Linked DNA regions of Bombyx mori. The main gene of each other region encodes a partner of the protein of the gene in region 3 in a complex. Links are inferred from orthologs where the notes say so. Each region holds a gene or a part of one and is shown on either strand. Other genes may lie near its edges.

Evidence for each region. The genes of interacting proteins can lie anywhere in the genome.
Region 1: the proteins of splicing factor 3B subunit 3 (region 3) and ATP-dependent RNA helicase DDX42 are in contact, whole or in part, in a cryo-EM structure (PDB 7EVN), measured with the Homo sapiens proteins. The link is inferred for Bombyx mori from reciprocal best matches to the Homo sapiens genes SF3B3 and DDX42. Residues at the interface, in NP_036558.3 of Homo sapiens: Glu159, Ala160, His161, Tyr211, His219, Val220, Val221, Arg222, Lys223; in NP_031398.2 of Homo sapiens: Lys145, Gly146, Ile147, Arg148, Asp149, Asp150.
Region 2: splicing factor 3B subunit 3 (region 3) and zinc finger matrin-type protein 2 share a complex: the UniProt entries of both Homo sapiens proteins name them as parts of the spliceosome B complex. The link is inferred for Bombyx mori from reciprocal best matches to the Homo sapiens genes SF3B3 and ZMAT2.
Region 4: splicing factor 3B subunit 3 (region 3) and splicing factor 3A subunit 3 share a complex: the UniProt entries of both Homo sapiens proteins name them as parts of the 17S U2 SnRNP complex. The link is inferred for Bombyx mori from reciprocal best matches to the Homo sapiens genes SF3B3 and SF3A3.

The regions. Positions count from the first base shown.
Region 1 is NC_085114.1:15,057,920-15,062,163, forward strand, and holds the start of ATP-dependent RNA helicase DDX42, read left to right. Parts: upstream 1-1,402; 5' UTR 1,403-1,751; coding exon 1,752-1,993; intron 1,994-2,145; coding exon 2,146-2,236; intron 2,237-2,808; coding exon 2,809-2,975; intron 2,976-3,243; coding exon 3,244-3,484; intron 3,485-4,244. UniProt on the Homo sapiens protein: ATP-dependent RNA helicase that binds to partially double-stranded RNAs (dsRNAs) in order to unwind RNA secondary structures. Unwinding is promoted in the presence of single-strand binding proteins.
Region 2 is NC_085128.1:9,737,992-9,741,153, forward strand, and holds zinc finger matrin-type protein 2, read right to left. Parts: upstream 1,932-3,162; 5' UTR 1,729-1,931; coding exon 1,614-1,728; intron 1,527-1,613; coding exon 1,285-1,526; intron 834-1,284; coding exon 594-833; 3' UTR 543-593; downstream 1-542. UniProt on the Homo sapiens protein: Involved in pre-mRNA splicing as a component of the spliceosome.
Region 3 is NC_085117.1:14,815,464-14,819,522, forward strand, and holds the start of splicing factor 3B subunit 3, read right to left. Parts: upstream 2,889-4,059; 5' UTR 2,728-2,888; intron 2,471-2,727; 5' UTR 2,448-2,470; coding exon 2,222-2,447; intron 1,796-2,221; coding exon 1,625-1,795; intron 282-1,624; coding exon 87-281; intron 1-86. UniProt on the Homo sapiens protein: Component of the 17S U2 SnRNP complex of the spliceosome, a large ribonucleoprotein complex that removes introns from transcribed pre-mRNAs.
Region 4 is NC_085112.1:8,797,987-8,802,074, forward strand, and holds the start of splicing factor 3A subunit 3, read right to left. Parts: upstream 2,843-4,088; 5' UTR 2,501-2,842; coding exon 2,405-2,500; intron 1-2,404. UniProt on the Homo sapiens protein: Component of the 17S U2 SnRNP complex of the spliceosome, a large ribonucleoprotein complex that removes introns from transcribed pre-mRNAs.

The DNA.
Region 1 (4,244 bases), on a different chromosome or scaffold from region 3:
CTAGTGCAATTCCAAAATTCTGTTAAGGCTCTATACCTCGTCGTTTTTATGCGATAGAGGTCTAATAATTTGTTACAAATTTCGCTGTATGTAGCTATATCGAAATCAGGCGTTAAAGCTACTTTTAATTCGTGGAATATCTCTGGTGTTAGTAAATTCAGAAGCAAATCTTTCTGTAAGTCGCTGTTATCGATATCAAGAATTTTGCATTTGTTTTCGAAAAAATCAATGTAATCGTCAATTCTGAATGTATCTGGGTTGTATTTATCCATATTGAAATTTTTGATTATACTTATCTTGTTATCCGTATCATGTTTTGTAAAAGAGTCGTTCGTCACGCTCTTGGCTGTTGTATTGCAAGCTGCTGGTACCAACAATTTCAAGATTTGTAAAATCTGCTCCTGCTGATTTTGTTGTGCATGTAAAAATAATGCGAATTGTTCATCGTTCATCTTAATTTCTTTTAACTCGTCGCCAATATAATAATACAATGTTTTCAAGACATAGCATAAAATATAATAATGATAGATGGTAAAAATGACAATGTGTTCGAAGTATATTTCAAATAATGGAATATGGAAAAGAAGGTTACAACAATAAACTTATAAAAAATGTAAATAATCGCAAGGGTCAACCACTCCGCACTGCAATGAAGCAGCCTCACCCTGGGGAAACCACCTGCATGATCACGGCATCCCTACGCCTGGTAAGTATGATTTCGGAAGAGAAATACGAGAACGTCATCAACTGTGTAACATCTCGTCACTGCGATTCAGGAATTGTTGAATTTACATGCAGCGACATCCATTGATAACAAACTAAATAGAAATAAAAGTATCTCAGGGCGCTCCGAGAGTTACGACAGCGTGCACAGACATCAAAAACACACTAACTAGTCGGGGACGCGTAAGCTCACAATATCAAAATCAAATTTTAAATAATGACTTTGAGCAATAATTTCGTTTCATTTCATTTCTGATGGAGTTTGAATATAAATGTAATGGCAGGCAACACTTGACACATAATTACAGATTTCGAATATTAGAATTATTTTAAATATTTAAAAAACAGATGATTGTCTTCTCGTAAGAAAAAGTCAGAACTTCTCATCTAGACACGGTCAAAGAAACATGTAAGAGCTTTATAAAAATATAAAGATAATAATTTTATAATGGTGTAACAGTGTTCAAACTATCTGCAATATAATTAGAATGAAGAAGTGTGTTTTTAAATAGCCCCTCATCACCTACAGAGCCCAATCCCGTCAAATTTAACCGTCCAACAATTTCATCTCATTTCATTTCATGCCATGTTTCATGTTAATTAACTTCATTTCACAAAATCATTTTTCATTTAAAAAAAATACCAAAAATTAGGGTGCATGGTATGATACCTTTGCCTTTCCAATTAGAAAACTAAAACTACTAGTACCTAGATGTCCTAGACTATTTAGGACTAATATTGCTTAGCGTTTGATACTCTTTGGCTAGACTAAAAAAAATTGATAATTCTCAATTTATGCATAGTATACAGTTGCTTGCCAATAATATATTTAATTATTATTTGATACGTAGTAGGTACGTACCTACTTTGAAATTGTCATGCATTATAATTGACAATGGGTTCATGTTTACCTCTAAATTGAAGGAAACAATATTTATGATATACAGGAGACACATAACCTTATAAATTGGCTTGAACACTTTTCTTGACTTGAACAATTTTAATTTTGTGATTAAATAAATATCGCAATGAGTTATCCGGGCGGTGGTGGTAGAGGAATGGGGTTTGCCGGCTTCTCGATGCCGAAGCGAAACCCTTCGAATGTGTCTCTCCATGCTGTGCCGCCTCCAACGACGTCTATGCATGCTGTCCCACCGCCTTCCAGTGGTCTTTCAAAACAAGGATATTCTACAATGAGTGCTATTACACAAAATGCTGTAACTGGCACATGGGGTACTCTTGGGAAGAAACGCGCCAAAACCGAGGATGAGTAAGAGCAAAGCTTTAATTTGTTAAATAGAGTAGAGTGATAAATAAAGTAGAATTTTTAGATTAATATTCTCATTTATCTCATTATTCTCACAAATTTTACAAACACATTTATGTTTTGCTCGAAAACGATACCATGACTCTGTTTCGTAGGTATTTTGATGATGATGATGAACCTCCAACACCAGCGTTGGCTTATATACCTGCACCAGGAAGCCCTACTAATGCAGCAAGCAGTTCTAGGGTAAGTATGTAGATGACAGCTAGAATCTGTCCTGCTTATGATGATATTTTATAAATATGTAAACAGATACATCTGGTTAGTGACCGAGACTCATGGGTTCAATAGTTCTTGAAGTCTAGAATTGGATATTTTATCTTCAAAATTTAATTCTGCCAATTTTTTATTTATTTATTTATTTAAATTGTAATACTGTTCTTAGTATGGTGTTTTTCAGCATCAGTAACATCAGTTGGCTATGATCATCTAGTCGTTTCAGCTACTTAATACGGCTTTGATTTGTTTTTTTTTTATCCTTGACAATATTCACTTCGAAATTAATGAGCTGAAAAATACATGATCAATCAGCAGCCTATTTTAATGGGAAACAAAAAATTGCAATTGTTATCCTACCATTAGAATACATAATACAGGATTACATTGCAGCAAAAACAGCTCAGCGAATTGTACCACTCGTAGAAAAATCTTCTCATCATTAACAAATATCATGACTTAAGATTCTCTGATTAAAATGCCTGTCAACTGTTGTATGCAGATATAGCTTATTGAATTATATTTTTTTTACAAAATTGCAGGCTGATGATGATGATGAAGATCCTCTAGATGCCTACATGGCTGGGTTGGAACAACAGGCAGCTCGGGATTTGGTCACCAGTAAGGAGAATGCAGCCAGCGGAAAAGACAGTGTGAGAGGTACTAGGGGTGATATTGATGATATGGATGATGAAGAGAGTTATTATAAGTAAGTTACTTTAATTTTACGTTCATTGTTTTTTGTTAATTTAGCTGTAATTACGTCCAATTAATTTATGGAATAAACCTGTAAAAAAGCTTATCTAGATCTTATAAAATCTTCAAATTGCTTGATGTGATCTGTTTGTAAATATTTGTTCTTCTGGTTATGTGGATCTGTAGAAAATCGACACCCTTGAGGTGTGGTGGAATCTTAATGATATACAATGCAAAGCTCAACTGATGTAATTATTAGTATTTTTACATTAAACTTTTAGGTATATGGAAGAAAATCCTCTGAATAATGCAGATGACACATCTGATGTAGAAATAGAATATGATGAAGATGGCAATCCTTTAGCTCCAGCGAAGAAAAAGTTCATCGATCCCTTACCTCCTATAGACCACTCTGAGATAGACTATGAACCATTTGAAAAGAACTTCTACACTCCTCATGAAGATATTGAAAAGCTCACACATCAACAAGTTGAGGAATTAAAAAAGAATTTAGGTGTGAAGGTATGTTTAATATTGACATTTTACTAATGTTTATAAATTCACCTCTTGTGAGTCCGCACGGGTAGGTACCACCACCCTGCATATTTCTGCTGTGAAGCAGTAATGCGTTTCGGCTTGGAAGGGTGACAGCAGCTGTTGAAACTATACTGAAGCCTCAGAAGTCATATCTCAAGGTGGGTGGCGGCATTTACGTTGTAGATGTCTATGGGCTCTGGTAACCACTTAACACCAGGTGGGCTGTGAGCTCGTCGGCAATAAAAAAAAAGATTAACAATGTGTGCATCGGAACTAACGTAGACATATCCGGTTGCCTTGTAAATTCGCACAGTCGTTGTTATTACTTTAGGGAAAGATTTTGACAAAACATCATTATTGTACCATCATTGGCATAATAATACTCTCAATAGATCTATTTTATAAATTATAGTTACAGAAGAGTGGTATGATGCTGGGTTTTACTGGTTTATAATAAAAATATTTTGTAAATTACTGTTTTAACTGTATTTTTATTGGTGGTAGAGTTAACATTGTTATTTATATTTTGACATTCAACAAGTGTGTCATACTGACATCTAAGTTTAAATAAACGATTTTAAATTTGATTTAATTTATTTGTTAATGTATCCACAAATTTACACAAAAAATATTTAATTTAGAGAACCCTCAATACAATCCCAAGTGGCTAAAGGGTGATAATTATGGTGGCATACACATTATGATGTCTTTCTTGTCTACACAAAGTAAAGGCTGCTGCCCACTC
Region 2 (3,162 bases), on a different chromosome or scaffold from region 3:
CCTGGTGACTAAGACCTTTAAGTCATGTCTTATTTTAATTTATAGATTTGGGCGAGATCGTTATCTTAGCCCAGACTCAACAGAAACGACTTAGAGTAGAGAGATGAGCGCTCTTTTAACGCCCAGCCAACTGATTTTGTTGTTGAATTGTTTATTGTCCTCGAAAAGTCAGTCAGTCAAAGTAGTCACGTGCGATTTACATATCCCAAAATCCCAAATCCCAAAAACTAAAGTTGATGTGAGTTTTGACATATACAGGACTACTGGAGTCAGTGAAAAGCTTTCATCTAGCACATGAAAAACATGCCCTCATACCAAGTCCGGTAGTGGACATTGTAGCCTTATAATTTATATTTTTTAATTGGAAAAAGCATTTGGAACATGTTACATTTACATGGTGTCGTTTTTTCTAGCCTTTTCCAAATAAATATGGTAATATTATCCTGTCTGCTAAATCAAAGTTCATAATTATACCTTGATAAAACAAGGTCAGGGCAAATAGAATTATTAGCCAAATAATAATTAAAACATTCAATGAAACATTATTGTACCACACAGTATTTATTAATATAAGCTTTACATTTTAAAACATATCATTTTTTAGATCCTCCAAAGCCAGAAAACCCCATAATTTGTGCTAATTCAGAAGGTGCTGGTGTATCATCTATTTCATCATTCTCCATTAACTTCCGTTTCTTGTCCCGACGTCTCTCCCTACGTAGCTCTTTCACACGAGCTTCTTCTTCAGCGGCTTCCTTTAATCTTGTGTCTAATTCATATTCACGCTTTTTCTCTTCCAACTTTCGTTTATTGAGTGCAAATCTTGCTTTTACCTGGAACCAAACAAATATAATGTAGTAGTAGTAGCTATGATAGAATAGAATAAATATTATTAAAACCTGAATGGTATTTATAAAATTGAGAACAGCTAGATGAGTTAGATAGATTATTTCAAATTAGTGGTCTAGAAATTTAAATCATCTATTTGGTTGAACATTTTACATTTATTATTCCTTAACAATAGCATTAGAACTTGATAAAATTAAGATTGAAAGAATTTGTTGAGAATTATTTTAATATTGAGTGCTCTAGTTGAGTGGGATGGTAGGTTTGCTCAACTCAGGCAATCACAAAAATAATAGCGTTGGTTCATGATGTTTGTTATTATTTTGATGCAACAGTGGCCAATTGATGATCTCAGACCATAAATCTAGTAGCAAGTCAACAATCCTATTTACCTGCTTGGTACTATGCATATACATACATGTGAAAAAGTAAGCTCACCTGATCTAAGCTGCTCCTTTCTATTTTCATGGACATTCCCAGATTCCTCTGATGTTTTTTACCATTGATGTGATCAAGGAAATTTATTGAATCTTTAACAACACAGTCACAAACATTACAATAATATCCTCCAGATTGGGACGTTGGCGTATTCTTATTGATTACTACACTCTTCCCGAGTCTCGAGTCCAAATCTACTTTATATTCACGTTGTTTGAGAAGTTCACGTTTGACTGGAGTGGCTGGAAAATGAAAATTAAACAAACATTTATATATTGTGTCAAATTTGTATTTTAACGTAACAAAGTGTGTTGACACAAATATTTTACCTTTCTTCTTGGATTTTTCTTCTTCTTCTAGCTCTGCTTTCAAACGCTCGGCTGCAATTTTCTCGAATTCCTCTTTGTCCCATTTTCTTCGGTGGTCATCGGGGCGCATACTCATGTTTAAATTTTATAGTATTTATTTCACAACAATTACAAGTTATGATTTTCTTACACACTCCACTTGTTTGTTTTATATTAAACGTGTACCCAGAGGGAAGAGTAATCAATTAGATCTATTAAAAAAATAACACGAGAAAATCATCCTTAACAACACAAACGAAATGTTTCTAATTGACAACTAGCAGTGACAAAACTGACAAATGATTAGTTGTAGTATTTCCATTTTCTAACAAGAAAGGCGAAAGCATATATATATTATACAGCCTAATCTTTTATATATTCAGTTACATGAAAATTAATATAATAGGTTGGGGAAAAAGTTTCTTCGCATTTTTTAAGAAAATTAACAAATTTTTTTAATAGTTTATTTACATTTAACTTAAGTATGTAGGTATCATTTTGTTCGATAGCTTTTTGCCATTTTGTAAATAGGGACATGATCCCATTGCTATAAAAAATTTGGGGCTTCTGATCAAAATACCGAGACAATTGGTTTTGGCAGTCCTCTCGTGATGTTAATCTGACACTGCCTAAAGAATTCTGAAGAACCGAAACAGGTGGAAACCTGAAGGTGCAAGGTCAGGACGGATATACGGATAAACAGCGGATGCATTAACATCTTCCAGTCAAGCTCTCTTAATTTTTGCTGAATGGCTAAAGATGTGTAAGGTCACATTGTTATCATGATGAAAAGCCACACTCCTTCTGTTGATTAATTCTGGCCACTTTCTCTCAACTTCTTCCTTTAATCTCATCAGTTGTTCGCAGTAGAGTTCAGAATCAATGGTCTTGCCTGGTGGTAACAGCTCATAATGAATAATGTCCTTCCAATTCCACTACACAAACAGCATCACCTTGTTGCAAGTTAACCCAGGTTTTGCCACAGTCTGTGAAGCCTGACGGACCTTTGACCACGACTTTTTTCGTACGTTCTTGTCGTGCGTGATCCACTTTTCATCACCAGTTATCAGCTTCTTCAAACATGGTTCGGTTTCATTACGTCGTAATAAAGAATCACAAATGAGTACACGGTTCATTAGGTTTCTTTCAGTGAGCTCGTGAGGTACCCAAATATCGAACTTTTTTGTGTATCTATTTTTTTTCAAATGAGCCAAAGCTGTTTTGTAGTCAATTCCCAGTTCTTCAGCTACGTCGTAACTACTGATATGCCGATCTTGCTTTACTTTTTCAAAAAGATGCGATCAGTCACTTTCACTTTTTCAAAAAGATTCGATTAGAGCGACGTACAAATTCTTAAAATAAAAATTTCGTATTGAAAACGCTTAAACCAATTTTGTGCTACTTTCACAGACACAGCACTAGGTCCATAAACATCGCAATTTTTTTTCGCGGCCTACGTTGCATTTTTACCTTTTTTGTAGTAAACTTTTTAAATGTATCGATTTTCTTCATTAGATTCCCTAATCTTGAC
Region 3 (4,059 bases):
AGATAGTATGTTTAAATTATCACAAAAAGTATATGAAATTCTAAGCAAAACATGACAAGACATTCAATTAACAAATTACTACTAACCGGTAGGATCTGAATCAGCTTCTTCATAATCAATTTCCAAACATGCAAACATGGGATTTTCAAATCCAACATCAACACCAACCATGTGATAAACTAGTGTGTTTGACTTGTGAGCTTCAAGTGGTGAAGATATTGTTAGTCGAGCTTCTGCATCTCTATTCAAAATGTATACCAATTTCTGTTTTTCAATTGCACCTAAAATTTAAATAAACTTTGAGTACTGATTTTGTAAATTTCATTTGAGCAAATAAATTGGAATGTAATGAATTTAATATTGTACCATTCAAAGTACAAAAAGCAGTTTTATAAGATCAGACAGTGAAAATTGTTTTTTTTTTTTTATTGTATGGTATTGTAAATGACAGTATTTCAGAGATAACCAAAAGTTAGTGATTGACCAAGCATCATTGGAATTAAGATATTTATATCTTTTTACTGATGTTTTCAAAACAGTAAACCTGTTTTTCGATTTTAGAGTGAGATAATCACCTTAAAAAAAGACATGTGCGATTTTTGGTCTCAAATCAATGCATCACATGTGTGGCATAACTAGAGTCCCATTATTACTTATCTTAATAATTATATTTTCCAGTTTATTGGTTCACATCACCATAAATGCCAATAAAAATTTACAGTATACATTAAAAGGTACAAACAAATTAAATTACAAAAGGTCCAATTGAAATTGTATGCACAAACAGTGCTTAAGTAAACTTATACTAGTTTCCCTTCAATAAACCAAAATCAGAGAAAACAAATCTTACACCCGTATCTTTAGTCGTTTACACGAGCTTGACTCGACTCAACCTCCAACGCGCGTTTTGGTATGCTTAGTCGTAAAAATAAACTCCACTCAAACGTCCTTGGAAAATTTTCCTAATCGGAGTGAAGTAAGCGAACTGTCAAGTCAAGGTACGTCGCGACGTACCATGAACGTTCCTCAAGACTGGTTTTCTATCAATTTCCAAATAGTATGTGGACCGCAAATGGAAATATATGATATTGTTGTGCAATGGCCTGGATCTGTGCATGATTCGCACATATTTTGATAATTTTTATTAATAAAGTAAATAGTTCGAGGTTAGACTCTTGTTTAGACTAGTGGTTAGATATTTGAAACTCCTTATTTACCTACATAAGAGTCATATTTTGCTTACTACCTAATAAATAAAGTCAAGCTTGATCAAATTTTAATCATTATTACCTCACTCGAGGACAGTTGATGAATATTGTAATGGTCGACTAAAAATACCAAACTCGAGTAAGTTTGGGAGGAATGCTCGAGCATCATCGGATGAGTTAAGAGGACTATTTGACGAAACGTCTAAAGATACGGGCATTAGAATTTAATACTCCACGTTTTGTACCACTGAATATCAGCAACTCTGGCAGATTTTCGAGACGAGAAGAAAGTCTTATGGCTTTGTAGCAGTGCTAAAGGTTAATTGTAATTTTTAGTTGCAGCATTCCAAAACTACTCTTTTGGAACCCAAAACTAAAATTGATTCAAGAGGTAGGTATTATGAAAAAGTCCATACCAATCATAACAGCTCTTCCTTTAGGATCAATTGATAGATATTGACCAGGAACTATTCTCCTACAGCCAGATTTACCAAATGTTTCTTGATGGACTTTCTCCAAAATGTTCTTAGTTGGGATGTACTCCAAAATGATGATACGTCCAGAATCAGAACCAACCACAATGTAATCTGCAGAAAATTCTATATTTTAATGTTGTGTTCTATTGTTCGTAAGTTCAGGGTTAGGTATAACTTTGGAGATTTAGGTTATTTTTGCGTTTATAATGTGTGCAATAATCTATCATGTTAAGCATGCTACAAAGTCAAGAGTCATAAAAGTTCACATTATCTGTTAGGATTAGTTTGTTCCATTGCGGTACATCCCAACATTGAGAAAATGCAAGGAGCGACGCTTTGGCCATATTTTGTGCATCTAGTTATCCCATGTTCTTTGTGTTATAAAAAACATGGAGCAAGATGATGCAGTGTTATTTTCGATCTTATATAATGTAAAAATATTGGATTTGAGAGGAAATTCTGGGATTAAGATAATTTAAAAGAGATAAGCTACACAGTTCAATGGACCACATGGTCACATGGCCAAAGTTTACTTACCTTTTGTTCCTCCGGTTAGACGAAAAGCCATAATAGACCGAACTACACCAAATATTTCAATTTTCATTAATGTGTGGACCTTTCCCGTGTTCGGATCTGGCCGTAACAATTCAAGTGTTTTGCCACGTGATATAATAATCTCCTGTTGCTTAGTTCCAGAGAAATTTCCATGTACGGCATGTGTTATGGCAGATGAACCTTGCAGTGTTAAATTGTAGAGATACATCGTGATCTTATTTTAACCTATCCCTGAAAATAAATCGGGTTAGGTTAGTTAATTTATCTTTTCAAATAATTAAGCAACTGAAACAGAGGTGTGGAATTAAAATGTAGGGCTCGTAACTGACGAAAGCAGAAAGGATTTTGTGCTTTCGAATGGGTGAGCTTTCTGTTATAGCACCGAAAAAACGACCACGATTAATATATAATTTATCGTGGAGATACCTAGTGCAAATACAAATTGAAATGCATCATAGTCTAGCAAAACGAGAGAATTAAAAGATTACCTTTAAATATTAGCAATTGATGGCCGCAATGCGGCTCGATGCAGTATTTAATTTTCACGGGTGAACCGGCACAAGCAGTTGCCGGTAAAATGGCGGATTCAGAGCACGCCATTGAGCTTCGTTTTCACGGACCAATCAAATGAGAGGATTTTGCATCATGGCGTCGAGTTTTATAGAGGAATGTTGCCATATAAGAAATATTTTAGTAGCTGTTTTCTGCCATCTGTTGTTGGGTAGTGAAACTTGTAGCACAGGCTTTCAACGAATGAGCAACGGCTATTTTTTGTCAATAGATGTCCATTGCAGTCCACATAACATGCAATGAGATATTTAAATAGACAATAAAAATAACTTTAATTTACCTTAATAGATAATAAAGCTTCAATGTTAGTTCATTAATAACAAAAGTTTTATTAATAATAAAATCAAAATTAATTTAGTTAAAATACAGTTATATTAAATGTATTTACTTAAATTATTCGGAATTACACGTATTAAGACACATCTAATCTCACTAGAGATTTGATAAGGATCTCTCTCTCAAATTCTTCCTAGTTACAGACATCGAGCTCACCGCTCACTTTGTGTTAAATTGTTACGTGAAAAAAGGGCCAAATCATAAAGTGAATGCAATGCAACGTGCTTCCAACGTAATTATTTCCGACTGATTTTGAAAGGTCGTCGGAGATATACAATGTCCTGACTAAGGCCTCGGTTCAGTAATCTCGGTAGAGTTCCTCGGTAGGGCGGCAGTAGACAAATCTCCCTATCCGTTCTGCTTTTTGATAGCTGAGCGAATACGCAATTATTTTTTTCTGTCTGCCCAGTGAGCGCCTGTCAGTCCAAAGGTGAGGCACCCTGCTGTCTTCTTGAGAATTGGCGAATAGGCTGTACATCTTCTAGAGTCCTTAAGCCTAATGGAAAATTGTATTGTTTTTCTGTAACTGTAACTGTACCTTTTCTGTACCTTTGGTCATATAAATATATAATTATGTATTTATTTAGGTACCGCCAGAGCGTTTTCTGAACGGAATTAAGGATAGATTTTATTGTGATTTGTACATCATGTACGAAGGTGGGCGAGGGAATCGATTTATCTTAACACCAAGTGGTCCGTTACTCCGATGATCAATCTATTTTAAAAAAAAAAACAAGTAGAATCGCTGCGTGCATAATGGTTTGCAAGGCCATAATTGTGCTATGTGTTGTCCCTGCATTATGTTTTGTATCTTTTATTTTATTAATGCCGTTTGGCAGACGAGCTCAAAACTCTACCTGCTGTTGAGGAATTACCGAGCAGACATCTCAACCTAGATCCCGTCATCCACATGA
Region 4 (4,088 bases), on a different chromosome or scaffold from region 3:
ATCTGTTCTGTGATTTTGGCGGTCTCTCCAATTTTACACCCATTTCCCTCGACGGAACACCTTTGCCAGTATGTCAAGACTTCCGATACCTAGGGTCTGTTATCCAAAGCGACGGTGAACTGGATCGTACTGTGAGGCACAGAATTGACGCAGGATGGATGAAATGGCGGCAGGTCACGGGCACCATATGTGACTCGCACATCCCTCTTCCCCTAAAAGGGAAGATATATAAGACCTTAATAAGGCCTGCCGTCTTGTATGGATCAGCTTGTTGGACAACGAAAGTGGCGGATGAAAGGCGATTGCATGCAGCAGAGATGCGAATGTTGCGATGGATGTGTGGAGTAACGAGAATGGATAGAATACGGAATGAATATGTTAGAGGAAGTCTGAAAGTGGCACCTGTGACAGAGAAGCTGAGGAGTGCACGTTTGGGATGGTATGGACATGTGATGAGACGGAATGAAAATGAGGTTGTTAAGAGAGTGTTAACTATGAATGTGGAAGGATTTAGAGGAAGAGGTAGACCTAAGAAGAAATGGATGGATTGTGTGAAAGACGATATGGGTAGGAGGGGAGTGAGCGAAGAAATGGTATATGATAGAAGAGTATGGAAGGAGAAAACATGTTGCGCCGACCCCAGGTGACTGGGAGAAGGGCAGGATAATGATGATATGTAATTACATAATAATGCAATTTGTTGATTTAGAAAAAGCGTATGATAGGGTTCCCCGTGAGGTTTTGTGGTGGAGCATGAAAGTGAAAGGAGTGCCAGGGAAATACCAACGGCTTGTTCGAGCTATGTACGGTAGAGCTAGTACGTACGTACGCTCCGCAGCTGGCAATAGCGACGAGTTCAGTGTGGCGGTAGGCTTACACCAGGGATCAGCTTTAAGCCCTTACCTGTTCATCCTAATAATGGATGCCCTAACATCGGACATACAGGAAGAGGCGCCTTGGTGTATGCTGTTCGCCGACGACATTGTTCTCGTTGGAGAGGAAGGGCCTGAGATACAGAGGAGATTGGCAAAATGGAAAGAAAGGTTGGAAAACGTGGGTTTGAAGATCTGTCGAACAAAAACCAAGCACATGTTTTGTGATTTTGGTGGTTCTTCAGACTTCACGCCAATCGACTTCAAGTACCTCGGCTCTATACTCCAGAACGACGGCAACATAGACCGGGACGTCGCAAATCGAATAAACGCTGGTTGGATGAAATGGCGACAGGTCTCTGCAACAGCATGCGATCGTAGAATGCCCCTTCAGCTCAAGGGCAAAATTTACAAAACGATCATTAGACCTGTCGTGCTGTATGGATCTGAGTGTTGGGCGACGAAAGTTAAGCAAAGCATGAAAGAGGAGTGCATGCGGCAGAGATGCGAATGTTGAGATGGATGTGTGGAGTGACAAGAATGGATAAGATAAAGAATGAGTATATCAGAGGAAGTGTGAAAGTGGCCCCGGTAAACAACAAATTAAGGAGCGGACGGTTAGCGTGGTATGGACATGTGATGCGTAGAGAGAAGATGCATGTGACTAGGAGATGTATGGAAATGGTAGTGCAAGGTAGAGGGGGAAGAGGTCGACCAAAGAAGACATGGATGGAGTGTGTGAATGACGATATGAGAGAGAGAGGAGTGAGTGTTGAGATGACGGCTGATAGAAGAGAATGGAAGAGAAAAATTAGCTGTGCCGACCCCACATAGTGGGATAAGGTGGAGAAAAAGAAGAAGAAATAATGCATAAGCCCACAGCCTAAATAGTATTAAATGGTTACTTGTACATTAAGACATTAATGCCACAAAATAAGAGTCTACTAGAGGCTTCAGTTCTGACTGGTGTGTAGAATAGCTTCAAGACAGAAACTAACAAAGTTGTAGTGCCTAATAGTACCATACAAGGTGTCCCTAATGGGACAAACCAAATCAACAATAAATCAAGCTGAAACATTGTTATAGATGGAACAATGCAGATCACATTAAAAATGTAAAAAATCTAAGTTGTAATTAGTAGTTTCATAACAAAACTAACTTATTAATTGTTTCATCTGTTCGATAACAGCCCTGAATTTATACAACAAAGGTACCATTCATTCAGCAGTTCATTCAAATGTTAAATGCATCAGAATTAGACATTTAATTTTAAACAAATACATTTAGTTCATTTCTAAAAAATAAATACAACAAAAAATGTAACCATATTACTATGTGCAATAGGTGTACTAGGTGATTGTTACTAAGTTTCACCTTAATGTACAAACAAAAAAATCTTTGAAGGGGTATTCATGTGTGTATGTATTTCAATAAGCTAACATCAAGCAACTGTTTTTAATTTATTAACCTCAATAAGGCACCCGCACCCCTTAGGTAAATCCAATCTACAGTGATCATGTAACATGGCTTACCCCAGTTTTTTTGTGAAGAATTTCTTTGACCATTGCGTCCATGGTTCTTTCCCTTTCCTCATGGTAGCTTCGTTGTTGCTCTAAAATTGTTTCCATTTTTAAAGGTTATAGAAATTGTTTTATGTCAATCACCTTGTAAAATACAATAATATTAAAATAATGATTAATGATTTTGAAGTTTAAATTATGTGAGAAAATATATGGTAGCATACAAAATATGCTTCAACTCAGTTGAATCAACTGTACTAAATTTACGTTACTGAGTATTGAAATCAATATTTTAGATAATAACAATAATGAAGAATCAAATCATCAACGTTTTTTAGATATATTTTATTCATTGAAGTAGTATGTATGAAATGTATACGTAAACCATAGATACAGTGTGACCATCTCTTAACTATAGATCCTGCCTTATGCCGGCCACTGACATGCGCGCAAATATTCGTACATTGTACGAATGTTTGCGCGCATGTGAAAGGCCGTCAAACATTCATTCGCAAACCTAGCGGCCGTGCAAATGGGTTCGCATACTCAATTTGCGAACCCGTTTGCGCTTCCTCCTACACTTGTTTACGAATGTCTCACGAATTTCTCCTCCTTTTTAATTCGTCAATAGAACATTGAAGAGAAAAAGAGTTTTGAATTCTTTCCCAGACATCATTAACAGCCATGCGGTTTTTATGGGATTTCTTTTGATGAAGATACGCTACACAGTAGACGTGAAAAACTATGAAAATGGCGATTCGTCCGTTACATTCGCAATCGTCGGCGCAACTGGGCAAACGAATGTGTGAGAGACTACGCGAAGGTTCGCGGTTCGCGCGCTTTGATGTCTGTTAAAAACCGACACAGCTTGGAAAACCACGAATGTGGCGAAAACTTTGCATAATCATTTGCAAATGTCGTCCTACACTTGCGGGTTTGCGTATTCGTGCGCATGTGAGTGACCGGTGTAAGAGTCCAATCCTGCCAAAATGGCAAGATCCTGCCACATATGGTCACACTGCATAGATATTTTTTGGTACAATTTTTCCTTACTAGGAAAAGCAAAGAGATCTAAACCCATACAATCTTGTCTGTTCTAAAAATCATAGATATTAATAGAGATACAACTAGGATTTTTTTAAGGGCCTGGATTTAAGTCTTTTAAACCAGATAGCTGTTTGAATTAATAGTAACAAAGATAATTTATCTTAATTATATAACTTAGTTTTTATTTATTGTTTTACTGAACCATAAGATTACTGCGACAAGTCTCGAGATCTTTGATAAAACTCGGTAGGCATCGGCTTTTTTTTCGAAGTCCCTGCATTTCCGAAGTCCATGAGCAACTACAGCCACTCAACACCAGGTGGGTTGTTTGATGAGCTGCCTACAACAGCAAATGGAAGAATATTACAACGTATAATTTGATAAAAAATACCTTTTATCGCAATGCAATATCTAAATCATCATGCCATGGCGAAGCTATCATTCATAAAATACAATGAAAACATTTATGTAGTGCTAGAGATATAATCATTATTATATTTTTTTTAATTTCCGAATGGAAATATGAACAACATTAAAGACATGCATATTGGTTCTAGAAGGAAGAGGTAAGGAGAATCATCTCATAAGGGAGAAAAAATTAAAGTGTCCAGCTGTATGCTATAAATCAGTTCAAAAACCTCTCACAATC